Linked DNA regions of Oreochromis niloticus. The protein of the gene in region 3 interacts with the protein of the main gene of each other region in a pairwise test. Links are inferred from orthologs where the notes say so. Each region holds a gene or a part of one and is shown on either strand. Other genes may lie near its edges. The genes, in order: pex10, pex11b, pex19 and pex16.

Region 1 (6,941 bases), on a different chromosome or scaffold from region 3:
ACACACACACACAGATTCATGAAGATACGAGCTGTAGGATGAAATGTCACTTTCAATGGACTCCAAGTAAAATCAGGGTCACAATTCTGCAAAGAAGAGTGGCACAGAATTCATCCACAGTGAAACCAAAGATGATCTGAAGCGTGTCAGGATGACAAATATGCAAAAAACAACAAAAAGAAATAACTCGGGGACAAATATTTCCCACAGCACTGGATTTTTTTAATTACCTACATAACTAATATCAGCCAGTCTCTTGGACAGGTGGTGGAACGAGCCAGTGACGTAAAACAGAGCCGAGTGGAGGCGATAGAGGAGGGTCAGGCTCTGCTGGAGGACAAACACAGCGTTCAGACACGCCCTCCTCTGGGGCTCTGAACACAGCGCCGCCGCTTTCTGGACCCATCTCCTCAGCCAAGCCTCGAGGCTCCATGGCACGGACCCCACCTGCTGCCGACCGCGGCTCTCTTGCCCGCCTTCAAGCTCGTTCTCCAGACACACCAGCAGCTTGTCCAACAGATAAGGAACGAAGGCGTGGCAGAGGACAAACACACCTCGTCTGGCTGGAGAGGGGATCTGACGTTTAGTGGGATCCACTTGGACAATGTTAACATATTCCTCACCCAGAGTCTGATAGCCTGGAGAGGAGAACCATCAATCAAAACAGGAAATCAGCTAAATGCATTAACTGAACATGGTTTGTGGTGACTACCCAAGAATGTTGTTAGGCCAAAATATGCAAGATCTGACAACAGCTCGATCTCCTTCCTCCACTCCAGCCATCGTCTGGATCCTACAGAGATGAAGAAAACATACAGAGGTTACAATTACCTCACTTTGGCAATATAATGTAATATAATGCCTAACATGAAATATGTTTGATTAATATGCTTCATCCCACAGACAAATATCTTTACAGTGCATATACACATGGATTATACACAGAGACAAACTTGTATTTGTCTGACAGCTTCAGCTTCTACTTACATGGGTAAAAAGAAAACTCACAAGCTGCATGTTTCTGATCAAATAAAGAGTAGATTATAGATTAAATATTCCTTTATTGGGGGAGAAAATCTCCCTATATCATAACTGTTTTAGGTCAGATGGGCTGATTTTTGCTAAACGGTCCAACAGAGCAGAGATGATACAAACACCAAATGCTTACGTCAAAACACACACATGTGCAGCAGTCAGTAACATGTAACAAACATATGTAGCAGCGACATTACTTCAAAATACACCATGATTCATACAAGTGAAAAAAAATTACTGCAGTAATTTAGCTTGACATTTATTTTCAGGTACATGTTGGTGTTTATTACGAACAAGTGCTATTATTTTAAAATCTAAAAATCTTGAAATTGACCGAACACCACTGTAAGGGTATACAGCAGTAACAATGTTAGTGTGTTTATCTGGGACAGATAAACAGCAACACAAGTCATGTTTATTCATGGTTTCCTTTTGAAACCGGCCATATTTCACACATACACAGCAAATCCATGAAAACCACCTGACAACAGTGTGCTCAGTGGACATTTCTGAGAGCTGCATGTGGAGGAAGCTGTGTTGGAGCGAATACTATTCATTGTAGCTATCATGCTGTCCATTGCTGTTTTGAGATCCCCGCTTAGTTTTGCAAACTGTCTAATGCACACATCAGTGTAAGCTTATCATGTGAGGTGCAACAGCCAATCAGAGTGGCTCTTCTTCCTTTTAATGGGATTCTGAATTCAAAAAAAGTGGCTAATATATAAGCAAATTCAAAGGGCTGTTATTTTGAAATAGTCAATCAGACTGGGGTCTCGCTTGCTTGCGGCTCCTAGAGTACTGAAAAGCAGAACGGGAGGCAGAGCCCTCAGGCTCCTCTGTGGAACCAGCTTCCAGTTTGGACTGGGGAGACAGACGCCCTCTCTGCCTTTAGGATCGAGCTCTAAACCTTCCTCTTTGATAAAGCATACAGTTGGATCAGGTGACCCTGAATCCTCCCTTAGTTATGATGCTATTTTCTTCCTGTTAAAAGGGAAGTTTTTCCTTTTCACTGTCGCCAAAGAGCTTCCTCACAGGGGTCATCTGATTCTGGGGTTTTTCTCTGTTTTCTTTGTATTATTGTAGAATCTTTACCTTACAATATAAAGCGTCTGAGGCAACTGTTGTTATGACTTGGTGCTATATAAATAAAACTGTTTTTGACAAAGTGACGTTTATATATTATTCTATTATTCTATTATATTATATTATTATTATATATTCTTTATTTCTCCAGTTAAAAAATCTCATTCACATCAAAAAAATATTTCTGGCCAACAACTATAACCATAGTTTTATGAAGATATTTTACGAGGCCAAAAAAGACTGGATTGGTTACAATGTAGTTACAATATCACAGAGTCATAAGGATCCAGTTTAGATCTACAGTTTATATATAACCCCTTTGTAAATAATCCTGCTCACTAAAGGCTGTTTCCCCATAAAAGTAAAGACATCAGAAACACCTGAAGTCACAGACCGTGATTACACCGGGAGACAAACACCTGTCGCATCGCAGGACGAGCTCGAAAGTGAACTACGTTAAAACAAGACATTCAGTCCTTATACCCAGAATCACAGAGTGCCGGTTTAGCTGTGCTTCTCTTACCGGCCAGAGTCTGGAAGGCGTCGTTAGCGCTGTTCCTCAGAGAGCTTCGATAATAGTCGTCCTTCTGACTGCACCGAATCAGCTGAGCCCGAGTCGCAGGAGCCAGGGGCATCGTCCGGTACAGCCGGTCACACGCTGTGACACCGAGATATCACCGTCCAGGGTACTGCTCTTCATTCACACGCAGGCTGAAGTCAAGTCGTCCGGTCACTACACCAGATAAAACAAACCTAACTGCTCTTATTCTGATCCGAGCTGCATTTTGCACACTCTCAACGTCCACTAACATCCACTGAGAGTGTTTAGAGTAGCTGCGGAGTTTTGAGCCGCTCCAGGAAACATTACCGGAACTGTCTGCTGTACAAACAGACAGACAGCCAACCCTATAACTCACAGCGCCTCTCAGGGGCAGGGAGGAGCACTACAAGCGCACAAGGTTTGGATTTCATCCGATTGTGTTTAACAAGGTATCAAGCTGTCATCTTATATTATGTGTTCAGCTTTTAAAACATACACTCCTAACAAAACAAAACCACCTTTGTTTTTTACTCACTCTTTGTCAAAGACCACCTGACCCTTCAAGAAGAGTCAGTGTACATTGTAGTGCTCATGTACTTGGTGGAAACAACTGGAGGAAAACAATCAAAATTCTTAAAAACTGATAATGTAAAGATCTGTGTGTGTACGTCAAACAGATGAGTTAGACACAGTGAAAGCACTTACAGGTCTGACTGAAAGAAAACGTGACCGACTGACGGACTCAGGCACAGTGTTCACTCACAGTTAGACATTTCCTCTGGAAACCATGGATGCTGTCCTATATAAGCTAAAAATGTGGGTGACCATCCATCTAGTTATCATAGCATAGTTCGAAAGCCGAAGTGTTGAAGTGAGCACCATGGTGAGATCTAAAGAGCTGTCTGATGCCCTCAGAAAGAAGATTGTGGCCGCTTGTGAGTCTGGTAAGGGATTCAAAAAGGTCTCAAAAGAATGTGACATTAGCCATTCCACCATTTGGAAAATTGTTTACAAGTGGAGGACACTAAAACAACTGCCACCATGCCCCGGTCTGGCCGTCCAAGCATATTCACCCCCAGAGCAGACCACAAGATGCTCAAAGAAGTCATCAAAAAACCTAAAATGTCATCACAGGAACTACAGCAGGCTCTCTACTGTCGATGTGAACGTGCATGACTCTACTATCAGAAAGAAACTACACAAGTTTGACTTTCATGGAAGGTGTGCAAGGAGGAAACCTTTGCTCTCTAGGAGAAACATTAAGGCCAGACTGAAGTTTGCCAGAGAGAACGTAGACAAAGACCACGACTTCTGGAATAATGTTCTTTGGACAGATGAGTCTAAAACTGCATTATTTGGACACCAGAGCAGTAAACATGTTTGACGTAAACCAAATACAGCCTTCCAAGAAAAGAACCTCATACTAACTGTGAAGCATGGAGGTGGCAGTATCATAGTTTGGGGATGCTTTGCTTCAGCAGGATCTGGCCAGCTCATAGAATTCTACTGTGTATCAGAGGGCGAAGAACATGTGAAAACCATCTGTTAAAAAAATTAAGCTGAAGCAGAACTGGACACTGCAACATGACAATGACCCAAATCATACCAGCAAATCCACCAAGGACTGGCTAAAACTAAGCAGAGAGTCCTGGATTGGCCAAGTGAAAGCTCTGATCTTAATCCCATTGAGATGCTGTGGGGTGACCTGAAACAGGCTGTACATGCAAGAAACCCTCAAACATCTCACAGCTGAAAGAATTCTGCATTGAGGAGTGGACCAAACTTGCTTCTGATCAACGTCAGAGACTGGTAGAAGGCTACAAAAGGAGCCTCACTGAAGTTATATCAGCCAAAGGGGGCAACACTAGTTATTAGGGGGTAGGGTGTCCTAACTTTTTCCTCCATTAAAATACACATTTTTGTTCATATCTTTACGATGTGTAACAATCGTTTAATTTTTGTTGTTTAATTGCAATTAAGTCACTTTCTTTTCCAGTAATACGCGAAAACATGACTTTGGACATTGATACGTGAACATTTATTAATAAAGAGCTGATTATTTTATGGGGTGTCCTAATTTTCTCACATGACTGTATAATTGTAGCATGAGCTACTGCCACGTTTGTGAAAGCACCATTAATGCTGAATTATATGAGTCTGGATGCCAAACTGGCCTAATCTAATCTTTAAAGGGAAACATTTTCATTTTTAAACTACAGCAACTTTTTCCAGATTGTTTTTCTTCTCTGCTACAATATGGAAGAATTTTAAAACATAATCAGTCATAAGCAACAATCATTATATTCTGCTTTTATTTACACTTTACATGGAATCCAAGTGTTTTTGGAAACAGGTTTTTAACTCTGTGCAGTAGCTGAGCTGGTGTTTTTAGTTCAGTCTGTACTGTAAGTAGGGTAAATACATGCATCCATGCTGTGCTGCGATCTGCCTGGAAATGCAGAACCATTTTTTTTACTGCTGTCCCCTGGGCTGCTGGAGTTGTCTCATTATGAGTCCACTTTTATTCTCTCACTGTGACTTTTCTTAGCGCTTGCCTCCATCCTTGAACAGCTGACCCAACCATCCAGCACACCAAGAAGTTGAGCTTCACTCTGTGTGAGTGGAGGAGTCTGGATCTTTTCTTTCCCTCTCTTCAATTCGGCACCTACTTTAATACCATTACTATGTTGCGAATAGAAAGAGGAAGGTGTGGGAAGGACTTGGACTAAATCACTAGCAGTACACAAGGAGAGGCTGGGATTCCACAGCTACAACAGAAACTTGTCATGTTTCATGAACCTCGTATTGTCTACAAACAGGTTTCTGAGACAGCGCACAGTGTATGATGGCTCGGTCGACGAGCTGAAGGTTCGCGAATGCACAGAGAAATATTAATCTGTTCCCTGACAGTCAGATTATATAATACAGCTTACAGGCGACTCAGTGAAGGTGAAGGTTTTAATGGCATCATGGATCAAAGGAAGGTGTTTGCATTCACTGTACAATACCTGAGCAAGCACACATGACTGTTAGACACGTTATCTGTGACTCACATTGGTGATAGTAAAGAACATCCTGCATTACTTTAAAAGTAAAGAGTAAAGTAAATGGTAATACTTTACAGTTACTGAGTAAAGACTTTGACACTGGTCAGTTCACATGAGGGCAACAAAAACAGACTGAGGTCATTTTGCATGTCAAAGAGTTTGACAGAGTTCAGTAGCCCAGTATATGCAGGATATACTCTGAACACTGGATTCAGAAATGAGTTCCCTTCATATTCACTTGCAGGCTGATCTTTAAATTAAATGCCAAGAATTCAAAATGTAAACCAGCAAACTTACCAGTGGGCCAAAAAAAATGCTGAATACAAACCCACACCACAAACAAAGAAGGGAATTCAGGACAATCATTTCAATCGATTCTCTTTCACCTTGGTTTTTCTGTAATATTACACACTGGCATGTCTGCCCAGTGGCCAAAAAGTTGTGATACAATATGTCATAAACTTACACTGTACTGCCAAAAGTATTCACTCACCCACTCAGACATTAACCTGATAGAAGACCTCTGGGATAAATTTGAGTTCTTCTTGTCCAACATCAGCGTCTGACCACATAAATCACTCCTAAAACCAACCTTCTTTACACCTTTGCATAAATATGGAGCCTGTATTTATATCCAGTAAACCCACATGGATGCACACTACAGTATGTGTGAAGTCCTGCAATAAGCTGGTTTTTAGTTTTTTTTTTTCATATTCTGTGCCTTCTGCCTTAAAAACAAACACTTTGAGCACTTAAAGCACTTTCTGTCATGTGCCGTCACACATCTATGTTTGTAACCCCATGAAATTATACACTGCACACACAAATATAATGATTCACATCATTCTTGTTTATGCATAATGCATTATCATTCCTTTGGTGTCCAGATGTCAGAGTGAATGAACCGAGTTTAGTCTCCACAGCGATTTTTTCCGGGTCGCCTGCAATATTTCTTTAATTCTAGCAGATGGCACAATTGAGCGACACATCAACATCGTGCCAATACGATGTGGATGCAGTAAGAGGAACGTGCCACAGTCCACGAGGCGTCATTAGAGATGTTTGACACTGAGACTCTGAAGCTTGTTTCATCTCAGCCGAAGCGTGTCATCTCACTGTGGCGTGGCTTATGTCAGATCTTTGTAATCACATGACCGATGACGCTGAGGCTTCACTATGAAACACCAGAGGTGACGTGACTGATTCAAATATTTGGTGCTGTTTCATTTGTCAGG
Region 2 (7,827 bases), on a different chromosome or scaffold from region 3:
TTCATGTGGAATTTGGAAGGCTACAAATGCAATAGATCCAGTCGTTACATGTATCAACTGGATCTAGTCGTGTTACACTTTACTGTAGTGATTCAGACAAATCAAATTCCTTTGGATTTATTTCTCCAGTAGTTAAGTCACTTAGTAGTTCAAAATGGAAAAGAATATCTAAAATACAAACTTGCTGGGAGCAGACGGTAAAATCACATGATGTCGAAAGGTGGTTTCCTATAAAAACGTTAAACACAGAGGGTAGAAATCACACGTTCTAGAGTGATGTCCACAGACAATATTGCCTTGATTATACTCTGTTACGGACACGGTCATAGAGAGCTGGAGATGTGATGGTTATGTGCAGAATGGCAGCAACTAACATGGTTTAGCCTCACATGAGGGAAGCGAGGGTTGTAAAGCAGCAGTGTGATCTAAGGCCAAGCAACGACCGTGTTCATGCAGGTCTGAAATAATATGTGAAACTGATGTAGCATTTTAGAAACTCCTCAGCTTTTCAGTAGCACTCAAGAGATTTGAAGGAACTCAATCACACAGCATGGTGGCAGTACAACGGCTCACGTAGTCAGGACTGCTTTGTGTAGAATCGGGGGAAAAAAAATTTTGTTAACCCCATTAGAATTTTCTCAATCCTTGCTAGTCCTCAAATGAATATCTCCTCCAAGTCTTACAATTTATGGTTTGAGCTTGAGCCAGGGGTGAACCATGGTGAGGATGGACAGGACGGACGAGGCCAGGCCACAAGCCCCAACAAAGCCTGGACCTGTAGGGTAAATCCCCAACCGGTCCAGTGGGATGAAGATATCACAACTGTTCTTCACCAGGTCCAACAGCAGTGGCGGGTTGCTGTACAGCACAGTCCCCACCAGATGAAGCTGTCTGTAGAGCCAGCCAAAATTCATGGCTTGTGTGGCAGGTGAGGAGGAAGAGGAAAGGTGGTCAGGTGGGAGAGGAATACTGGGGGAGGATGGCTGTTTGCTGGTTCTGGAACGTGCTTCGCGCTCCATGAGGAGGTGCAGCTCGTAGGCATCTCGGGTCAGGTTCAGGATCAAAGCAAAGAGGTAGTACCTGCAGGTTTAACCACACAGTTTGTGTTAACTCAATTTTACATTTCAGTTACCTGAAATCAGTGATAAGCACTAGAAGATAAATGTGATTCCTTTGTGACCCTGATATGAAGATGACTGCAACCACTCACTTCAAATCAGGCTTTGAGTGCATATGTCACTTTAGTCATACAAACTCAAAACCACTATGGGTAACTGCTGGAAGTAGACACAGATGAGACAAATACCATGAATTAATTTCCCACACAAAGGCATCACACCAGCTCTGGTTGAAAGCACTGCATGTCCTCTGAAACAGGTTCACTATCACTAGCAGTAAGCAGACTTGACATTTCTACAGAACCTTTTTATTATGAGCGCTTAAAGTACTTTCAAATTAAAAGCCTCAGTGACACTTTCACAAAGGAATGTCTGGTGTATTCTTACACACTCGAGTGCCATGTTAGACATGTGGACTGAAGGAGCTGCAAATGGAAACCTGAGTCCAACAAGAAATTACTTAGACCTCATAATCGGAAGCACTCGATTAACTGGATTAAACCCACTGCTTCTAATTAACAGGTTCATCCTGCGTTACTACAGTCGCTCTGTCCAATGGCTCGACTTACTCTGTAACCTTGGTGAGGCTGCCATAACTGCACACTTCACCACACACAAGTTCTGTTTAGTATCTCTTGAAAAAGGTTTTCCAGAAAGCTGAACAGGGACCAGAGACTCACTGGGGAGGCAGCTCAGTTCAGCTGTATTTATACAGCGCCAAATCACAACAACAGTTGCCCCAATGTGCTTTATAGTGTAAAGACCCTATAATAATACAACATAATGTTAATAATGAACGACATGGAGGATTTTTAGGCCCTCATTGCGATCAGTTAGAATTCAGTAGATGTACATATAGTTTGATCTGTGGAGCAACATGAGACTGTTTAAACAACCAGTCCTGCATGTATTTCTTATTTATGTATTTCTCACACACCTGAAAGATCTCTGACTCCACTTGTGCTGGTCGAGTTTGGAGATGAGACCGGTTTTTCCTGCCCACAGCACATTGTCGCAGGCAAAGTACATGGCTCTGTTAAGGTGACTGATGGTCAGGCAGAGCCTCAGCACGCTGTCAGAAAGGTGTATGGCCCTTTTGGCGGCCTCCAGGGCCTCCACGGAGTTGCCCAGGCGTAGCACTGTGGAAGAACCAACACCAGCCCCACTTAAGCTTTGGTACGTGGAAACGAGTCAGACTCGCTCTGGCTGTTTTACTCACACTTTCTTGTCAGACTCATGTGTGCCTCCAGCTGACTGACAGTTCTGCGGACCTCAGCTGCTTCGTCATGTTGCAGAGTGGATCCGAGCAGCGTGCAAGCATACTGTGCAGCCCTGTGAACGCACAACGTACAGTCATTATCAACAGAGACACACGTGACGAGGACGGAAAGCAGTGCGCTTAACAAACTCAACTACTCTGTGCTGCTGGAGCTGGCATCATAAGGCCGTTTGATTTGAAACCAGTGCAGGAAGAGCTGCTCCTACTGAGCAGATAAAAGTTCCGCTTCAAACACGGAACTCAGTCTGCAACATCCAGCCGACGGTTTTATCACACTCGCAGAAATGAAGAAGCACGACGAACCCCGCGTCTCAACCTGCAATGTGCCAAACGTCGGTAACGTCACCTGAAAACTCTCTCCTTGGCTTGGCTCTGGCCATTAAAGCGAACCCAAGAGTCCATGTTGGCTCTCGGCCTGTACCCGCTGCTCGGCTAGCTGTCAAACTGCTAACTTAGCTTTAAATGCTTTAGTGCGGTTGTTTGTTTTAATGCCAGAAGGGCTCCTCCATGAGTTTTTAGCTCTGCTTTCTACGCTTAGCTGTCCGAGTAGAAAACAAGAGAGTCAATCCAGCGCTTCTAATTCTTCTTCTTCGAGCTGCTGAGACCCGCTGGCGCCCCCTGTGGACTGGAGTTTGAAACCAGCGCTGTAGATTATTATTATTATTATTAGGGCCCGAGCACTGACTGTGCGAAGGCCCTATTGTATCTGCTCTGTTTCTTCTTCTTCTTCTTCTTCTTATTATTATTATTATTATTATTATTATTATTATTATTCAGGCAAAAGAAGGGCCTTTTTGAGGGCTTTAACATGCTCGAAAACTCTTGGAATTTTGCACACATGCCAGGTCTGGTGAAAAATTTTGTATTTTAATGGTTTTACATATGAGCACTGGGAAATGGCTCTGTAGCGCCACCTATGCCTTGTTAAATGCAGCCCTACGAACACATCGTTTTAGCTACATGTATGAAATTTGGCACACATGTGTATCATGCCAAGACGAACAAAAAAGTCAGTGGGACCATTGACGCAAACCCAACAGGAAGTCCGCCATTTGGAAGTGAAGGTGACATTTTGGCTCTAATTTTGCCATTTCCACGCCTCGAACTTTTGCGAACTCCTCCTTGGAATTTCATCGTACAAGCTTCATATTTGGTCAGTGTCAACTACACACCTGGGCCATGTTAAATTGCGGAGCTTTTGAGTTTTCGGGTTACTGTGAGGCCGTGGCACCACGGCGAATTTCGATGACTCGCCATGAAAATCTTATTGCCTCTCGTTCTGTCATACATTGTCCGACCTTGACCAAAGTGGACACATATGATAAGGCTCCACCCCTGAACATATTTCAACTGCCATATTTGACATCAGGGACAGCGCCACCTAGTGGGAACAGGAAATGTCATGTTTTACACTTTGGGGTACAGTATTGTAATGGGTGACATCTGCAGCCTCAAATTTCTCCAGGAAAGCCTTAAGGAGTTGGTCTTGGGTTACAGAGAAAACTGTGAGTTTTCGCTGAAGGGTGTGACCCCAGCAGCATGGCGAACATTGAGGTCTCGCCATGAAGAAACAAATTAGTGTAACTCAATGAAATCCAATCTGATCAGTACCAGATTTTACAGGGATGATGTCAGACCCGCCCTGAACAGATTGATATGCCCATTGTCAGGAATACGTAGAGCGCCACCTAGTGGCACCAGGAAATGTCATGTCTTTCATTTTGTTGTACTGATTTTCACAGGTTCATCGTGGCCACCTCAAAAGCGGTGAATATCACCATCAGTCCCTCTTGATGCTTCAGTGAGAAAATTGTGACTATAAACTGAACGGCGCACCCTGGTGGCAGCGCAGTTCACCATGAAAGATGAAGTGGCTTTTGAGGGGCTTGAAAAGTTTAAAAAGTCTTGAAATTTGGCGCACACCTCTAATGTGATGAGGGATTTCTTTTTATATGTTCATTTTCCTTGAACAGCGCAAAATGGCTCCACAGCGCCCCCTACAAAATTTCAAAACAACAGCCCCTGCTCTGTGTTTTATGTATGAGTTTGAAACCTGGCAAGCTTATTGGAGATATCAAGATGTACAAAAAAGTCTCTTGGAGCAATATCCCAAATCCAACAGGAAGTCAGCCATTTTAAAATTAATGTGTAAATTTGGCGACATTTTCCCCTCTTTTCAGGCCTCATACTTTGACGAACTCCTCCAAGGGATTTCATTAGATTTACGCGATCTCCTGTGTGTGGAATCTAAAGACCTTTGTGATGTTAAATTGCGAAGCTTTTTACGTTCAGGGAAACGGGGTGGTCATGGCGGCATGTGGAGTTTCAATCACTCGCCAAAAAGCAGTAATCTGCTGTCACTCAAAAACACAATGTCTAATCTCTCCCAAAGGTCGCAGGCGTGATGAGACTCGAGCTCGGAAATGTTTGTTATGCCATTTGTCAGTAATGGTTAGAGCGCCACCTAGTGGGACGACTATAATAATGGTTGAATGAGATGAAATTTTAGCTGGTGGTTAAATGCATGAATTCCATCAATGTGACATCAGATCGGAAGCGCTGGTTTTAGGTGTTGGGCTTGGCTCGACCCGCCGGGGGTGCGAGGGCCCTCATATCGCTGCTTGCAGCTTTAATTATTATTATTGTTGTTGTTGTTGTTGTTGTTGTTATTGTTATTATCTTCTTTTTTTTTACATGTTCTTATCTGTGCTTATCTTAGGGGCTTCCAGCAATGGCGGAGCAGTGGGTTATTATTTGTGTAGATAAAATAACAACGAAGCATATACTATACAAATGTAGCACAATTTAAAGACTATTGTACTGTATTGCTACATATATGCAATAGATAAAAGACAAAGCTTACATAGAACAAATGTGTTTATATGTGAAAAAACAGAAATGTTTTACATTATTATTAGATAAATCTAAACTAGTTAATCTCATTTAAAAAACAGATTACAATAAATAAAGTCCACCAAAGTTTAATGTGCTCTTAAATTTAGATTAGCTTAAAGAAAGAAATGATTATTTAGTAAGAAGAACACATTTTAATTCATTAATGATTTATTGTTTTTATTTTTATTATTATATAACAAAGACTGAGTTTTTTTTTTTCTTTTACCAAATATTTATATAGTGCATTTTTTATAGCTGTGGTTCCTCTACAACAACTGGAGGAAGAACCTGAGACACCTGAGACACAACCTGAGGCAAACAGAGGCCCAAAAATGCTGCACAGAACAACAAGATTGACTTTACAGGTGAACTAACCAACAATCATCGGTAACTTTGACCAACATTTCCAAATGGAGTTTCCTGAACAACCAACACCCAGAAAAAGACAAAGAGAAAAAAATTGTTTTGTTTTGTTTTTTGCTCAAATGAAACATTTTTACAACAATACACTTTTATTACTTCCAGCTCATTAAAGTCTGTATTTGCAACAGATATTTTTCTGTAGCAGACTCACAAACCCTTTGTTAATCCTCATGTTGTGTTCATTTCATGGTTAAACAAGTTTGTGTTCCGGGTCAAAAAGACTCATCATCGTGTTTTGGACAGAATGAAGCGACTCACTGAACCAGAGCAAGAAGAGCTCACCCCTGAACTGGACATGTGTGCATCATCTCCAGAAGACCTGTCCAAAGAGGTCGAGGATCTAAGGAAGGATAAACAGGAATTATGTGTCCAAAGTGACTTTGGGTTAGAGCGGGTTGCTGGCTCCGACCTCTGTCCACATCAGTTCAATTATGTAGCTTCTGATAAATATGTACCCAGTGTATTTTTCATGTTCATGCTTTGGTATTTAAGAAATATCTTAATGTTATAGATGAAATATAGAAACAAATATTTCAATCAGATTATCTGAATGTTAGATAAAGGGGGTTTGGCACTCCCAAATCTTGAGGCATACTTTTATGCTGCACAAATCAGGTATATCATTTGTTGGTGTGACAATGATTATGAAGCCAAATGGAAGAATTTAGAAAAATCAGTACAAGGAAGAGAAATTCAAAGCCTTATAGGAGACAGAGAAGAAATGATGAGAGTAATCAAACAGCTGAATCCAGTCACTCAGTTTACGTTTAAAATATGGTTTAACCTGATACGAAAATACAAACTAGAAAAAGAGCTTGGATTAATCCGATGGATAGCCTATGATAAGGGTTTTACACCCAGTTCTATGGACCGAAGATTTAAACAGTGGATTCCTACTGGATTAACAGCGATGTGTACACTAATCAAAGATGGGAATTTTATGAGTTTCCAGGAGATTAAACAAAAATATGAACTAAGTAATCAAGATCACTACAGATATTTACAGATTAGGGACTTTTTTAACAAAGAAGTAAAACATAGTGTAGATCTGGATAAAAATTCGATAATTAAAATCATAATTGAAGTTTACAAAGCAAAAAAAATTAGAATAATCTCTACAGTTTACGAGCATATAATGGAGGCGAAAGGGTGTACGACAACATATGTAAAACCGAAGTGGCAGAGAGAGTTGGGAGTGAACATATCTGATGGGGAATGGTCACAAATCTGGAAAATACAGCAGTCAACAACATCATCACGTGCCTGGAGACTGCACTGCTGGAAAAATGTAATTAGATTTTTTATAACACCTAAAATTAAGAACAAATATACCTCATTACCACAGCCGTGTTGGAGGGGCTGTGGAGAGGTAGATGTGAATCATTCCCATGTGTTCTGGTTGTGTCCCAAGATTACAAAATTTTGGGCAGATGTTCATTTAGTTATAGGTAAAATTCTGGGTTATGTTGTATCTAAGACTTGTACATTATTATATTTTGGTGTCATTCCGGGAAATGTGATGAAAGAAGATAGATACATATTGAAAATTATGCTTGCTGCCTGTAAAAAGGCAATTACAAGAAAATGGAACAAGATAGACCCACCATCACAGGACGAATGGATAAAAATTATAGATGAAATACAAATCATGGAACAATTGACCTACAGAATAAGGACTCAGGAAGATCAATACCATAAAAAGTGGGAGAAATGGACTGAGTACACAAACCTAACAGGATAAAGACCAACACACTGATAATGAGAAATGATCAAACTGTAGAAACAAGGAGATCCAACATGGCTTTTCTTTTTCCTTTTTTTTTTTTGTTTGTTGTTTTTTGTTGTTGCTGTTGTTTTTTGTTTGTTTGTTTGTTTGTCTCTGTTATCCTACTTGCACTATTTATTTTATTTATTTTTTGTTGTTGTTTTGTTTTGTTGTTACCCCCCTACCCCCCCCCCCGTATAGTGTCTAAAGAAAAACAATAAAAAGAAAGTTTAAAAAAACAAAAAAACAAAAAAAAGATTATCTGAATGTTAGGTAGCCAAGCATTTGAGACACTTTTCCTCTGATCGTGCTGATTGCACATCTGTATCAGTGTTTATTCTTTGCAC
Region 3 (7,257 bases):
AAAAAAACCCCAAAATACCTTATTTAGAAATAAGGAAAAACTGAGGGAGATGTTCTTCTTTTCACTCCATCTGAATTGAAACTGTTTTGTTTTTATGTTCTAGACCCGACTCTAGCTTACACTTGATGTAAACCTGCAGCAGTCTTGCTTCCTAATAGTAAAAGAACCAACATTTGAAAGCTCAAAACTAAAATAACACCGACACTTTCTAGTTTGCAGTTTTGGATAGAAAATTAACAGAAAAAGACAGAAAAGCACTGCTTTATCAGTCAAATATTGCCATCTGCAAATACTGATATTTACTGATATCAGGAAATAAGAAAGTTGCGATGTTTATCTGTTGTGTGACCTCAGTTTTTTTGGTGGTGAAATGTTAAAAAAAAAGTGATGAAGGACTGAAAAGACTTCAAATTGTCTCAGTTCTTTCTTTAAAATCAACATTTCCTAGTTTTCCTAACATTATGGGGAATACACAACAGTAATACACAACTGCCCTCTGGCAGACGGTACAGAAGCCTGCAGACCAGGACCACCCGACACAGGAACAGTTTCTTTCCCCTCGCCATCTCCCTCCTAAACAGTTGACCTGTCACACTGCTCCCCACTGCCAGACTGCAACTGCACCTTATGTACATTCTGTAGTATTCATTCCACCTCATTTCATTTCTGTATTTTATGTATATAAGTTTAGTTATTTATAGTTGGTTTACACAGCTTTGTGTATGTATGTGTATGCATGTGTAATGTATATATAGACGTGTGTGTGTGTGTGTGTGTGTTTTACATTGCTGTGCTTGATAGCCACCATCTACCGGAACCAAATTCCTTGTATTTGTCTGCACATATACTTGGCCAATAAACACGATTCTGATTCTGATTCTGAAAAAACTGAAAAAAAAAAAAAAAAAGTATTGGTATTCACTATTAGCCAAACTTTTATTTAAAAATTTGCCACCGGGACACCACCATGGTTGGACTCAACTCTGATGGAGATGAGAGAGCATACAGGACGGATGTAGAGAACTTGTCCCTCTGGTGCTTAGAAAATAACCTGAAGCTAAACGTCCTTAAAACAAAAGAACTCATAATGGACTTCAGGAGGCACAGACAGGTCCATTCCCCACTGATTATAAATGGAGAACGGGTGGAATCTGTCTCCACCTTCAGGTTTCTGGGCACCTGGACCCACAACACCATCACCCCGGTAAAGAAGGCCCAGCAGCGGCCGCACTTCCTCCGTGTCCTGAGGCAGAAAAATCTGAACCGGAAGCTGCTGCTGGCCTTCTATTCTAAACATTCTATTCTAAATTATTTCGCAAGCACCTTTTGTGCACCACTGCTGGCTGAGGACGAAGCGGCTGCAGGTTCAGGGGCTGGAGGGACGGACGCCTTCTCAAAGTCATCCAACGCACCTGAAAGAAAGCGATGACATTAGAACCAATTCAGTCAAAATGCATTTAATGGTTTCATATTCACTGACAAATAATTATCCAGTTATCCCATTGCTATGGGTTTGTCCCATTGCTATGGGATAACTGGGATAACTGATGGGCAGGATGTCAGCATATGACATCCTGCTGCAGCATATGATGCTGCAGCAATTTTTCTGAACTATAAAATTGTCTATTCTATAAAATTCTTGTTTTTAATCAACTCATTCTGAGTTCAAAATAAAAAAGGATTATTTTCATTATTAAAGAAAATTAGCAAAAGCATAATATATTCACATTTTAAAACACAAAGGCAGTGACTTTTTTTTTTTTTTACTAATCAATTAATCAACAATCACTTCATTCTTCAAACACTCATTTTGACCTTTAATTAGCAAAACACAACAACCTGCTTAATCTTAAACTGACCACAAGAGTGGCAAAGAAAGGTTATTTAAGTAACTTAGAATATGAAATGGTTGTTCAGAAACTGCTGATTTACTGGGATGTTCCCACACAACCATCACTGCGGTTTAAAGAGAATGGTGTGAAAAGAGAAAAGATCCAGTGAGCAGCAGTTCTCTGGGTGAAAATGTCATGTTGATGTCAGAGGTCAGAGAATAGCCAGGAAGCTTCGAGCTGACAGGAAGGCAACATTAACTTAAATAACCACTCAATGCAACCAGTCAACACAGAAAAGCATCTCTGAATGCAAAATACATCAAACTTTGAAGTACAAGGGCTACAGGGGCATAAGACCACGCCAGGTGAAATTCCTGTCAACGAAGAACTAATTTGAAAACTAGAAGCTTAGAAAAGGTTTGACTGGTCTGATGAGTCTTGATTTCTGCTGCAACATTTGGATGGAAGGGTCAGAATTTGGTGCACATAACACAATAATATGTTGTCTTATGTAAGACAAATGATGACTTTAAATTGAAGGAAAAATATATAAAGTGGTTTGAAGATTTTTAGCCCTTTTCTGATTGTTTTATTATTGTTATGAATGTCTTTTATATTGAAAACCTACTGTTGAGAAAATAAAACTGTATATAATTTAGCCTTTATACATATTTGGAAAAATAAAACACTTTAAATCCTAAGCTGGGTTGTTTTGAAAATTTGCCTTGAACAAAATATGTCGTTAAGGAAATTGACTCCGTGTTCTGTGCAGATACACGATGAAGGGCACAAACTGAACCCGGATAAAGTTATCTGACAGCAGAGACATGAAGCGATTCGTGCTGACGTTTCTTCTTGAACATTACTTCTGCAGATCTTTGGGACCCGGGCAGGAGCACCTGACGTTGAGCTAAGCCCTGACACGGTGGAAGCACAACAACAACAAAAAAGGACACGGCGACACCACGAAGCTGCACGAAAATCCCACTGCTGTGTTCAGAAATACACACACTGATAAAATATTAATGCCGAGTCTTACTGTCTAATAATTCTTCCAGCTCTGCATCGTGTCCATCGGACGACCCTCCTGTTCCTGACGCCATGATGTTGCCTTCTCCAACCCAGCGCGGAAACTGCCGCTTCTGCTGTAAAAATGTCGCGAACACCTCTACGTCACTCACCCGAGTCTGATTTTAAATGTAGCGCCGCCTCGTGGCCGGTTAAATATTTTACTCTGGAGTGTTGTTTAGTGTTATGGAAAACGCGCACACAAAAGCACAAATGTTTACATAATACTTCCTGTATTTAATTTCTGTTTTTATTAGAATTTATGTGACTTTTTAAATGTTTTCTATTTAATTGTGGTCACCCTTTTGTGTCATTTTCACTGTACAATTTGCCTTTATTTCATTGTTCTTTGAGATTGTCTTTATTTTAAAGTATCCTACTTTTATTAAATTATAAATATTTTACAGATTTTGTTTGGACATGGTGTTTATCCCATCTTCACCTCGTTGTTCTTATTATTACAATGGACAAATTCTGTATCTGTAAATGTCATTGATAAGAAACCACACTGCTCTGTACATTTAGTCAGTTTAAAACTCGCAAACATTAAACTACAGTTGTTTTATTTGAGAGTCCTGATAGAGAAGTATAGGGAAGATTAAAAGGACTTGAACTGTGGATCTAGCCAAAGCGTGTGATAGAATGAAGTCAGGAGTGGCAGAGAAGTGTGTGAGGGTGGTGCGGGACACGTATAAGGACAGTGAGACAGTGGTGATGTGTGCAGTTTAACTGATAGATGGGTTGAAGGTGGGGGTGGGATTATATCGGGGTTTAGCTCTGAGCACCTTCTTGTTTGGACAGGTTGGCAGATGAGGTCAGCCTGGAGTCTCTGTGGACGTCGATGTTCGTGGATAACATTGTGATCTATATTGAGAGCAGGCAGCATGTGGAAGAGAGCCTGGAGAGATGGAGGTATGCAATGGAAAGAAGAGGAATGAAAATAAGTAGAAGGCAAGATAGATTACATGTGTTTGAATGAGAGGGAGACAGGTGTAAGAGTGAAGCTGCAAGAAGTGGTGATAGTGAAGGTAGTTGATTTTAAGTACTTTGCGTAAACCATCCAAAGCAATGGATGGTGCACACGAGAGGTGAAGAAGAGAGTGCAGGCAGGGAGGAGTGTGTGGAGCCAAGTATCAGGGGTGATGTATGATAGAAGGACAGCAGCAAGAGTGAAAAAAAAGTTTAAGGCTTACAAGATCACCTGTTATGATGTCATCTTGGAGATCATGGCACCATCACTGGAAATGGTTACATCAGAGGGGCAGCTCAGGTTGAATAGCTTGGAGACAAAGTTAGTAAGGAAAGGCTGAAATGGTTGGATCATGCAAAGAAGGGTGTTGAAGATGGAGCTGCCAGACAGAAAGATTAATTGACATGGTAGACAGAGGCTGAGATGAAAGCAAATGATCCACTGTGGTGAACTCTGCTAAAGGGAGCAGCAAAAGAAGAGGAGGAAAACTCTGAAACATGAAGTGAATCAATATCATTACAGTTTATAGTGGTTATTATCCTTAGTTTTAGGCTGATAGAGAACCTGATTTATTTTCCCTTGTTTTTTATATCACGTGTTGTATTTTTGGACATGATATGAACATGTAAGATGCTGTTCTTAAAACGTGGGTTACTGAATTCTGAGCAATAGTTAGTTCATTTAGTCCTCATCTAACCCCTTAACTGTGCAGCCATTGTGCCAAATATCAGAGATTAGAAATATTATAACTTTATATCATTATGTTCAGATGCACTCCTGTGTGCAAAGTGGAAAAATTATTAATTAATTTGAATTAGAAAGACTAGTTGAGTACTTTAATCTCTTTGTGCTTCTTAGAATCCTCTCCAGTTCAGACACTTTGTGCCACAATTTTTGTGATACAGCTGTAGTGCACCAGATTTTTTTTATTTATTTATTTATTTTTTTTTATTGCCACTGTACATGTTTATCTACATTGGCACTCTGTACATTTCAGGCAACAAAGTATATATCTCATTTACAGTGACAAATTTTTTTTCTTCTTTTCTCTCCTTCCCCCTCCTTCCCCTTCCCCTCCTTCCTCTCCCTCTCCTTTTTACATAAAATATAATTACCATTATATAAACGATCATATATCAGAATTTTTTTAATACAAAGCACAAGATGAATTTTACAGAGACATTATAACACACAGGGCACTAGCCTATATAATAGATCATGGAACAGACATTCACATTTGTCATTATATTGGAAAATATATTGTTAGGCATCAACATTTTACTTTTAAATGGACTTCGAGAACTATAAATACTTTCAGAACCAGTAGAATCGTATATGAGCAAGACATAGTGTGTAAAGGAGTGTAACTTCCTTTTTAATGTCATGTGGAAATTGATTTATTTAGAAATTCAATAATAAAACCCCTGAGCTGTGTCATGAAGAACTACTATTACGTAGTAAAATACACTTAAAAAAATGTCTATCTAGTTATTAGCCCCACAGGCCTTAATTGTTGAAATGTGAACGATTTAAATAAGTCAAATCAGTCTTGTATAAATGCCTATGTGATACCAGATGTCGGGGGTTTCCTTTTTCTATTTTCAGGAAACGCGTCAGTTTTACAGTCCATACACTGTAAAATGTAATTCTAGCTGTTTGTTATTTCAACATATTGTAGCGGGCCAGGGCTGTTCGGGGTTTTGTTTTGACAGTCATGTTTTGTTGTTACGTTGCCATGGTTACAGGTGACGCTCTCTCTCTGCGTCTGTGGCCCTTTTCTTTCAAGTTCACAGGCTGTTGTATTTTGATGGAAGTTCATTTTGGCAATATTTCCAATAACTGACTGGGTTCAAAAAGAACTTTTTGGCAGGACTCCGATGCTTGTTGTCATCTGTTTACCCCTATGTAATCACTTAAGTTGTTATTAACTGCTGCATGCTAAGCTGCAAGAGTGCGCTGAGGACTGAGACAAAATATGGTCTACAAACCAGCATTATATTAGTTTTTATCAGATAGTCCTCCAGTGTGCTTATTTTTTGCTTTAATTATATTGTGCAGTTATTTGTTACCCAAAAAATGCTTAATGCTTAACAACAGCTCACTATTTTGACTTATTTTTGAACTCTTGTGATCAGTATGACTAGATTGTGTGAGTTTTCATACTAAAAGAGCTGTAGTGATAAAATAACTGGCATCAGAGACACTGATTTTTGGTATGGTATACTGCAGAAGTTTTTTTTTTTTTTTTTGCATAATTTACCTTTTAATTAAACTGCATTCTCTGTATTGTAACAAAACTAACATTGTTTATATGTCAGAAAATTAGCAAACATGAGTAAATGGCGAAAACAATATAATTATAACATATATTTTTATTTTACTTATTTTAGGTCTGTGAAGCCAAACTTGATGCTGGGGATATATTTTTGTCAGTGGAGTCAAATGGTAAGTTACAATTTGTGCATTTTGTCATACTGGAAACACCACAGATTATATTGTAACTTAATAGCTCTGTAGAACAAATGATATAAAGATTGTAGTGTCAGGGTACTTCTTAAGAAGTAATATTGCACTATTGATGATCGCATGCAGGTGGCATAAACTAAATATTCAGACGTGCTACCAACAAATGATTCATTAACAAAAGCAATGGAGCAGACTGTTTAGGTTCTTGTGGTTGTAATAACATCCATAACTGCAGGTTTGTCATTAATTTATTTTCACAGGTCTAGATGATCACATCTGTCTTTGTTATTTAAATGAGTTGGACTTGCAAACTTTGCACTCTTTTGGGTAAATTGCTGTCCACTACATATACACAGAATGTGCACAGTATTTCAGATCTAAAAAGGGAGTATGTAATGGACTTGCTGGCTTTAATGAAAAAAGCCTGTTGTGTAACTTTAATGAGGCAGTTGGACTAAAACAGTATTGCTCATCAAGGTAAACATCTGAGGAATAAGGAAATTGTTACTTGTCCTTTTACTCAGTGTTCTTTTCATCGCACGTTTACTAAAGTTTTACATCACATGAGTCATTTTCACAATCATTCTACTTTAAAAGATTTCAAGACAGAGCTTATTGTTCTCTGAACTTCCTTGTTCGCTGAACGGCAGGTAAAGTGCATCTTTTTGTTTGTTTGCTTTTGTGTGTTTGTGTTTTCTCTAATGGGCCTCAGATGACTGTTTGCTTAAATTTGGGTCTCAAAGAATCTTTTTTTTATTCTGCCTGTACTCTCCACCCCTCTTCTTCCATTGCTCAGGTTGAAGCAGAATTTGCCTGTCTTACATCTGTTGACCTGAAAGGGTTCCTTTTTGCTGTGCTTGACCATTATGGAGAGGTTCGTGGAGCTGTACAAAATCAAGAGCGGCATAGGAGGGCTAACTA
Region 4 (7,539 bases), on a different chromosome or scaffold from region 3:
AGTCTTCCACAGAGTCACTCCCAGCTACACACCACAAGGCCAAAAATATGTGGACATGCAATGAATGCTAAGGTTCTTTGGAGTTCTTTTAAATTTGTGATGCCAAATTTAAAACCAATCTTTGTGGAATGTCCTTTGACAGGTACACTGTCATGTTGAAACAACCACAAAGATGGAACACCATTTGTCTAACATAGACTATATTTTGTGCCTATGCATTAAAGCAATAGGCACAGAAGGAAAGCTAATGTTCTCTTTTGCAGCTCCATTTGCACATGTACAGTAGTAATTTTTACTTTTCCATTTTCCAAAAAAATAACTTAAAATGTAGCCTGTGCAAAATCAGTATCAGTGTTTTTATAATTTCAAATTAAAGTCAAGTTTCCAAGTCATACTTAAAAATCTGAATAAGTCCGATGACAAGCCATCGTCCAACTTCACCCCACAGCTTACAGGCCCCCATCTCCAGGAAGACCTCCACATACTCCAGCACAGACAGCCAAGTCAGGAGCCTCTGTTGAGAGATGGACTAGAAACACCACAATACAAAGGATGGACGACTTATTAGATGAAGAAGGATGAAACCCCTCACTTCTTCCCAAAACAACATCCTATGCACAGTTTCTGAAGTCTTTGTATAGTTTCTTTATTGAAGGAAACCGTACAGTAAAAGATGGATGCAGCCACGGTGATGTCAGCCATTGGTTTCTCGGCCCCACTATTTGAGCCTCAGTGTTAGTGTTTTGGCTGCCGTAATGTTGGTTTTAAAAACCAGAAGTTAACATATTTGGAAAACAGGGTGGAGTGCTAAGTTCTCGGCTCACACTAGCACTGGTTACCAAGCTGCCTTCTTAAAACTGTACAGAAGGAACAGGCAGCCACACTGCTACTCATCACAAGCCAAGCTTCTTTAGCACAATTTAATCACCCAACTATAGTGTTTATGAAGGGAGTACAAAAGTATAAAGACCAAAAACTACTTTGTACCAATCTGGTTTAATGATAATTTGATGCTGGGCATTATTGGAGCCTTTGGAATCAGCCTTAAGCAGCTACAGCTGGCTATTCAGACACATTTAGATGAGAAGGCCTGGCTCACAGTCTCCGCTCTAATTTATCCCAAAGGTGTGGTCAGGACTCTGTGCAGGCAAGTCAAGTTCTTCCACACCAAACTCACTCATCCATGTCTTTATGGACCTTGCTTTGTGCACTGGTGCGCAGTCATGTTAAAACAGGAAGGGGCCATCCAGAAACTGTTCCCACAAAGCTGGGAGCATGAAAATGTCCCAAATGTCTTGGTATGCTGAAGCATTAAGAGTTCCTTTTAATGAAACTAAGGCGCTGAGTGCTTAAAAACACCCGCACACCAAAATCCCCCCTCCACCAAACTTTACACTCGGCACAGTGCAGTCAGACTAGTGGCGTTTTCCTGGCAACTGACTCATCCATCAGACTGCCACTGCTCTAGTGTCCAGTGGCAGCGAGCTTTAAACCACAGAATTCAATGACCTGGATGGGTAAGTGAATACTTTGGCAATACAGTGTATTTGTCTTATTGTGCTCTGGTAAATCCTATAGGGTCATTAATACTATAAAAACTGATCATGGTAACAATAGACTAAGACCATAAGTTTTTTTTAGCATCTCTTTAGAATTTCTAGTTTTTATTGCTGCACCACAAAGGACAGCCATTTAAATTTCATTGCACTCTTCTGCAAAGAGAGTAAATGCTATTCTTTTCTACTGTACTGTGAGAACTGATTTTTGTTTGAATGAAAGCAGAGCTCACCACAGGAAAGGTACATCTCAGCCCTTTGCGCAGAATGTGGTCATTGAATAGCACCAGGAGATTGGAGGCAGAGTACACTAAAAAGATACAAAGTGATGACGAAAATATTTGAATAGTACACAGATTACATAAGACCTATATACAGTATGTTCATTTGTGGACACATAATGCTTAGAAAACTGAAAAGAATGCATAGTGATAATATAACCTGTAAAGTTTCCTCACAGCTCAATATTAATATCAAAACCAGTCCATTATTATTCCCAAGTAAGTATACGGTAATATAATTAATCTGCAAACCATTTATGTCCATTATGTAACTGACGAAAAAGATATTTCAAAAAGTTGTATAATGCTAAAAATAAATAGATATTTATTTTGTTTAGTATAATGTTTTGGCGCATAGGCTGGGAGAGGTTCACCATTCTCCAATGAACTATTTCAAAGATACTTCTCGATGTAAAACAGGACATAATCTGGGATTTGAGAGAACATAATGTCTCTCCTGAGATCTCTGAGCCTTCTGGCTTTTCAGAATTTATGTATTCATTCATATTTCTTCATTCACATGGCAAACTCCTACTAATATAGAAGGTGCTGATGCAAGAAAGAACTTAGCGCTAACTAGTCTCTGTGTTGGTCCTTAACATCTACTTACCTAGTTCAGATATTTCATGGGAATCTGTAAATCTCCCTGCAAAAAAACAAACAAACAAAGAAAACATGCCGTCATTCATTTTGCACTGCACAAGCACTTGTAGCTAGTGTTACCGAGCTAAAGTGAAACTAACAAGAGATCTGGAGCGTTGATTTCCAAAAAAACAACCATAACGCCAGTTGAGCTTTTGCACTACTTCTAAACGGAGAGCCTTAATCCCAACACACTGTATATAAAAACTGCTTCTACGACTGACCTGCGAGCAGGTAAGAGAGAGTCCGCACGGTACTCTCCAGCTGCGCGGTGGCAGCTGGGTTTCTCCTCACATACTCGGTGTAGCGTTCATAAATACGCGTCACTTTGTCCAAATACTCCTTAACGTGAGACATTTCAGCTTCCTCTGAAAGACACACTCTGCATTTAACCGCTGTGCTCACAACAGACCAGCTAATCTACTTTTATGACTTCTCACTCCTATATTCTAAAAGTATACCGTAAACTTCCGCTTCTTCTTCTTCTTCTTCTTCTTCCGCCTCCCATGGCTGTTGGCAAACAGCGAAACGGTGCATTACTCCCACCAACCGGTACGGAGTGTGGCCCGAAAAGTAGCTTTTAAAATTTTTTTATTTCAATATGATCCAGATCAGAGGATTTAACCATCACTGTACCGAGGAGGAGGTTTTGGAGTTGCCTTGTCAGCACCTGACACTCCTGTTAGTGTAATATAAGATGTTCAACAGTTTCTTCGTCTCCACAGTAATTACATTTTCCTGTACTGCGTTTCCATGTTATGATTATGAATAATGTTGTTTAAACTAGTGTGGCCACGTCTGAGTCGTAATATGACCATCCTCTCCTGCTCCTTCCTGTTTCTCATTTTTCACAGATTTTCTTTGAACACATGAAAGGCAGTCCTGTTCGTTTAATAATCATCATCGGTGGATGTCACATAAAAAGTTAGGACGCGTGCCAAAGTCAGGGGTTAAAAGTCGGACTGTGTTTTTTGTTTTGTTTTTTTGCCACAACACCAGAATGACTGCAGGTGTCCCTAAGTTGCGGTTGTGGTACTTCAGCATGTACCTCTAGTGAAGAGGAGCATAAAGGGAGTGAGATTTTTTTTAAGTGGCAGGTAATTTCAAATATAGCGTTTCTATCAGCTCAACAAAAATCAGCCAACACACAAACTGTTTGTGTGAAGTTTGTCTCACAGTGTGTTGCTAGCTAAAGGTCCAGCTGCTGTATTTCACAGGGATAGAAAGGAAAGAGAGGCAACTTCACTCAGAGATGGAGAAAGCGAGGAAAGACAGGACAAGAGAGGAAGAAGAGAGGTCAGATTTAAATGTAAGGACTGCTAAGTGGTGTTTGATAAACTGGAAATTTGAAGCTTAAAGAATAGTGTGTGACTGGTGCACAGTAGCCTTGGGTTCAGGGTCAGAGTCAGGTTAGATCAAGTGTAGCAGAGATTCAAATGAATTTTAGCTGATGATCCACTGACTGAATTCCACCTTCATAAAAATTTATACCATCTAGAAAACAGACAGCATAAACAGGGTACTGTCAGTGTAGAGGATGGAAATCAGCCAGGACAACTCATGAAACACCTGCTAACACCTTGTTGAATTAATTTGTGTAAATCCACAAAGAGCAGCAGGTCAGCTGATCACAGCCTATACACTAAGAAAATATACTGGAGCTGTCAATAGAAGTTATTGTGTTATTATTCTTTTCCCCACATTGAGCCATTACAGCCAATTTTAGGGTTCCTCCACCTGCTAAATCCCACTTTAACCCCTGACTGTACCCTGTTTAAAGGCAAAGTCACCCTCTACAGTGTAGGCAACAAAAAATATATATATATTTTTTTATTTTCTTTCTTTTTTCCAGATTCAATCTGAGTATGATTAGAATTTAAAAAAAATTGACAACAGTTTGTATTCCCAAATCCTGATATTATTTGATCATTATGTTAATACAGCACGCGGTTCAGTTAGCTTTGCACAGAAATAGAAACATCCTCCAAAGAGCTACTTTTTACTTTCTTATTTTGAGTTTGAAACTGTACTTTTTTACTTTTACTTGCATAAACAACTTGAATAAGTATTTTTTTTAATAGTAGTATTTGTACTTCTGTTTTACTACAGAATGTCGGTACTTTTCCACTGAGATTTAAAACCACATTCCAAGAAATACCAAGAAATCATTTTTTAAATTTTTTCCAACTTTTTCTTAAACATACACACACAAACGCCAAACAAAACAAAACAAAACAAAAAACCCATTGTCTCAACTTCCGCTTTGACGAGTGTACCATCATTTATGTCCGCCAGCTCTCAGGTTCAAACACTTTGGTTCCTATTCCTACTCCTCGTTTATACGGGTTCTTCTTCCGGGCACGTTATTGTTGCATCAGCATCCAGCCTTTGACTACTGTGACAATGTCGGCTTCGGGAGATCCGGGTACAGTAAATAATATATGGTGTTTGCTTTTATGGGTTCGTTAGTTGAAAAACCGCATAAAGCTATGACAGCACAATCTAACGCATTTTGATGAAGTGTCACAGCGAATATGCTAACGCTCAGGCTAGCTAATATGTAGAGCTGTGCCCCAAAGTGCAGTTGAGCCGCTTAGCTAAAGGAAACACTGTCAATGAGTGACAAGCCGAATTTCATATACAAATACTGCTTAAACCAATACTTAACACCTGGGCAAAGACACAGGGCAGCAAATATTATTCAGCAATTTGTCTGCGTTCAAAAAAGGTAGCCTCATCTTCGGCTCATTTATCCAGTCAAACAGAATGTTAGAAGTAACTACAGTTTATTCTCTTTTATTTGTTTATAGTGTTTTAGTGAACCTATTCGACTCTGTGTGATTTATACGTTTGTAATTTAACAAACTGAAATGTATTGTTGTTTTTCTTCATATAAAATAAGGAGTCAAATGGAACTGGCTATGAAAATGTTTTATACACATGTAATTTTGTTGTCCTCATTATTTTACACAGGCTAACTTCTGCAGACCTGCACTTTAAAAAACAAAACAAAAAACTGCAGTTATTATCCTGTTTATTTGGGGATATTTCCAGGGGGAATTAAAAGCTGAAAGGTGTTGGGTGTTTTTGTTGAACAGTGTTTTGTTTAAGTCTATTTCGGGTTTAAGTTCCAGCTTCTTTCGTGTCATCTTTAAGAATATTATTAGCATCCGAAAGTATCGCCTTTCTGTTTGATATTTTTTCAAAGGTTTATGGAAAGCATTGAAATTATTATTAGTATTATTATTATTGGTATTGGTAGTAGTGGTAGTATGCTTACTGTGATTTTTACTCTCAGGTCAGTAATTTAAATTTTATACAGCACAACAATGAAATAAAACAGTCGAGGTGTGATTAAAGTGTAGACTTTCAGCTTCAAGTTAAGAAGGAAATTAACCTAAAATGACTATGAAATTGCTTATTAGTATGTTCCTAATTTACCTTTAAACCAGTGAAACCTGACCCTTTAAAACATTGGTAACATTAACAGTTTTACCAATATATTTACTGTATTTATTTTCAGCCCCTTGAATCGATAAAAAAAATGTGATCCTGTCCAAATACTTGTTGACCTGCAGTTAGAATTACAGCTCAAATAGTAATATGAAAATCACGGGTTGCTTCTATAAGACATGTAACCTGCATCCTTAATTACGTATTTTTTCCTCCATCTTTTGCTTTCTCCCGTTTCCACTCAGTGCTTGCACCTCTCTTGTTTTCTTATACATATATAAGGTTCTCTGTGAGTGGCTAAAGGCCAGTGTTATTCAGCATTAGTTCTGCTAGGCTATGTTTGGGTAGCGAGTAGTTTCATTTAACTCACTCATAAGTGCAGTTTACATTGGACGTGTGCCGACTTTCCAACTGATCGAGTAATTCTTGGCTCTGACCAAAGTCATTAGTCTCATTGGTTATTCCACTGTCCAGTGGAGTAAGGTGGTAATTCTTTGCGAACATTTGCCCTCTTGTTTCTGCAGCCTTTGAGTATGGCTTCTTGCTACAGATAAGTGAGGAGGCTGCACTGACAGTGGCCCTGAATGACTACCTAACCTCACGCAGCTACCTGGCTGGGTTCAGCCCCACCCAGGTCGACCAGAAAGCCTTTAAGCTCCTCCACAGACCCCCAGATCCACAACATGTCCACGCTCTGCGCTGGTACAGACACATAGCAGCCCTGCAACAGGACCTCAACCCAGAAAGCAGCAGTGAGTAGAAAGCTGAAGGCATGAACAGGCTAGATGTGGTCCTGCGCCTGCTGGCCGTGGATGTGGAGGCACTCTGAGGCTGTGACGTGCCCTCTTAAACAAACTGACTCTCAGCATGAACTAAGGCTTCCTTTGCAGGCACTGGAATGAATTCTGTTTTAGCTTGCACTTTTGATGTCAGTCATAGCAGCTTGATGTGTGTGGTACCTGCAGCTAAGCGCTGAGGAGACTCGCGTTATCGCTGTGTAAACACGGCAGCAACAGCTGGTGAAGACCCCACAGGCAAATACTCTTTGTTCCCATACCTGGCTAAATAGCTTAATATTAATAAGGACAACTTTACAAAAAATGTAAAACATCATGAAAAGAAACTGAGTAACTGATGATAGAACACAGAAATGTTTATTTATTAATCTAAACGATGTGTAAGAGCGTACTTGGATTTTCTCAGTTCTCTTACCAGAGCTGCTGCCTAATAACTCCTGGAGGTTACGTGGCTGATGTGAGTGGGAGTGAAACTCTTATTAAAAAACCCCATAAATAGTAAATTTGACCTATTATGCTCACTTTCATCTCTGTATTTTCATCCTGGGACTCCAGTGCATTGTTTTGCTCAACTGAGTGAAAAGTTGTCTTATGCTGTGCCAGTCTCGGATGTCTAGATTTCCTTCATTTCTTTCACCTTCACTTTCCATTTAACTCTGCTGTGTTACTGGAAAATTCCATTCTTCCATTCTTCTTTACAAGGACACAGTAAGCACGATAGATGTAAGTTTGGGGTCTGAAAGGTGAAGCAAAACCAGAAATCCTTCAAAACTATATTTTTTCAAATTTATTTTTACCATGTGGTTGTTA

What was found.
Region 1: the proteins of pex19 (region 3) and pex10 interact in a two-hybrid assay, tested with the Homo sapiens proteins (4 studies listed by BioGRID and IntAct, with this or other methods). The link is inferred for Oreochromis niloticus from reciprocal best matches to the Homo sapiens genes PEX19 and PEX10.
Region 2: the proteins of pex19 (region 3) and pex11b interact in binary tests that used the Homo sapiens proteins (3 or more experiments, as listed by UniProt). The link is inferred for Oreochromis niloticus from reciprocal best matches to the Homo sapiens genes PEX19 and PEX11B.
Region 4: the proteins of pex19 (region 3) and pex16 interact in binary tests that used the Homo sapiens proteins (3 or more experiments, as listed by UniProt). The link is inferred for Oreochromis niloticus from reciprocal best matches to the Homo sapiens genes PEX19 and PEX16.

Annotation. Positions count from the first base shown.
Region 1 is NC_031984.2:35,139,015-35,145,955, reverse strand, and holds the start of pex10 (peroxisome biogenesis factor 10), read right to left. Parts: upstream 3,017-6,941; 5' UTR 2,754-3,016; coding exon 2,642-2,753; intron 794-2,641; coding exon 713-793; intron 639-712; coding exon 235-638; intron 1-234.
Region 2 is NC_031985.2:35,570,339-35,578,165, reverse strand, and holds the start of pex11b (peroxisomal membrane protein 11B), read right to left. Parts: upstream 3,020-7,827; 5' UTR 2,800-3,019; coding exon 2,744-2,799; intron 2,737-2,743; exon of another isoform or gene 2,532-2,736; intron 2,451-2,531; coding exon 2,338-2,450; intron 2,258-2,337; coding exon 2,056-2,257; intron 1,081-2,055; coding exon 687-1,080; 3' UTR 1-686. UniProt on the Homo sapiens protein: Involved in peroxisomal proliferation. May regulate peroxisome division by recruiting the dynamin-related GTPase DNM1L to the peroxisomal membrane. Promotes membrane protrusion and elongation on the peroxisomal surface.
Region 3 is NC_031982.2:26,253,756-26,261,012, reverse strand, and holds the start of pex19 (peroxisomal biogenesis factor 19), read right to left. Parts: upstream 3,004-7,257; 5' UTR 2,936-3,003; coding exon 2,872-2,935; intron 1,413-2,871; coding exon 1,324-1,412; intron 1-1,323. UniProt on the Homo sapiens protein: Necessary for early peroxisomal biogenesis. Acts both as a cytosolic chaperone and as an import receptor for peroxisomal membrane proteins (PMPs).
Region 4 is NC_031965.2:3,407,306-3,414,844, reverse strand, and holds the start of pex16 (peroxisomal biogenesis factor 16), read right to left. Parts: upstream 3,020-7,539; 5' UTR 3,017-3,019; coding exon 2,941-3,016; intron 2,848-2,940; coding exon 2,704-2,847; intron 2,484-2,703; coding exon 2,448-2,483; intron 1,867-2,447; coding exon 1,790-1,866; intron 530-1,789; coding exon 396-529; intron 1-395. Other genes in the region: cars1 (cysteine--tRNA ligase, cytoplasmic), read left to right, coding at 4,883-4,904, 6,457-6,684. UniProt on the Homo sapiens protein: Required for peroxisome membrane biogenesis. May play a role in early stages of peroxisome assembly. Can recruit other peroxisomal proteins, such as PEX3 and PMP34, to de novo peroxisomes derived from the endoplasmic reticulum (ER).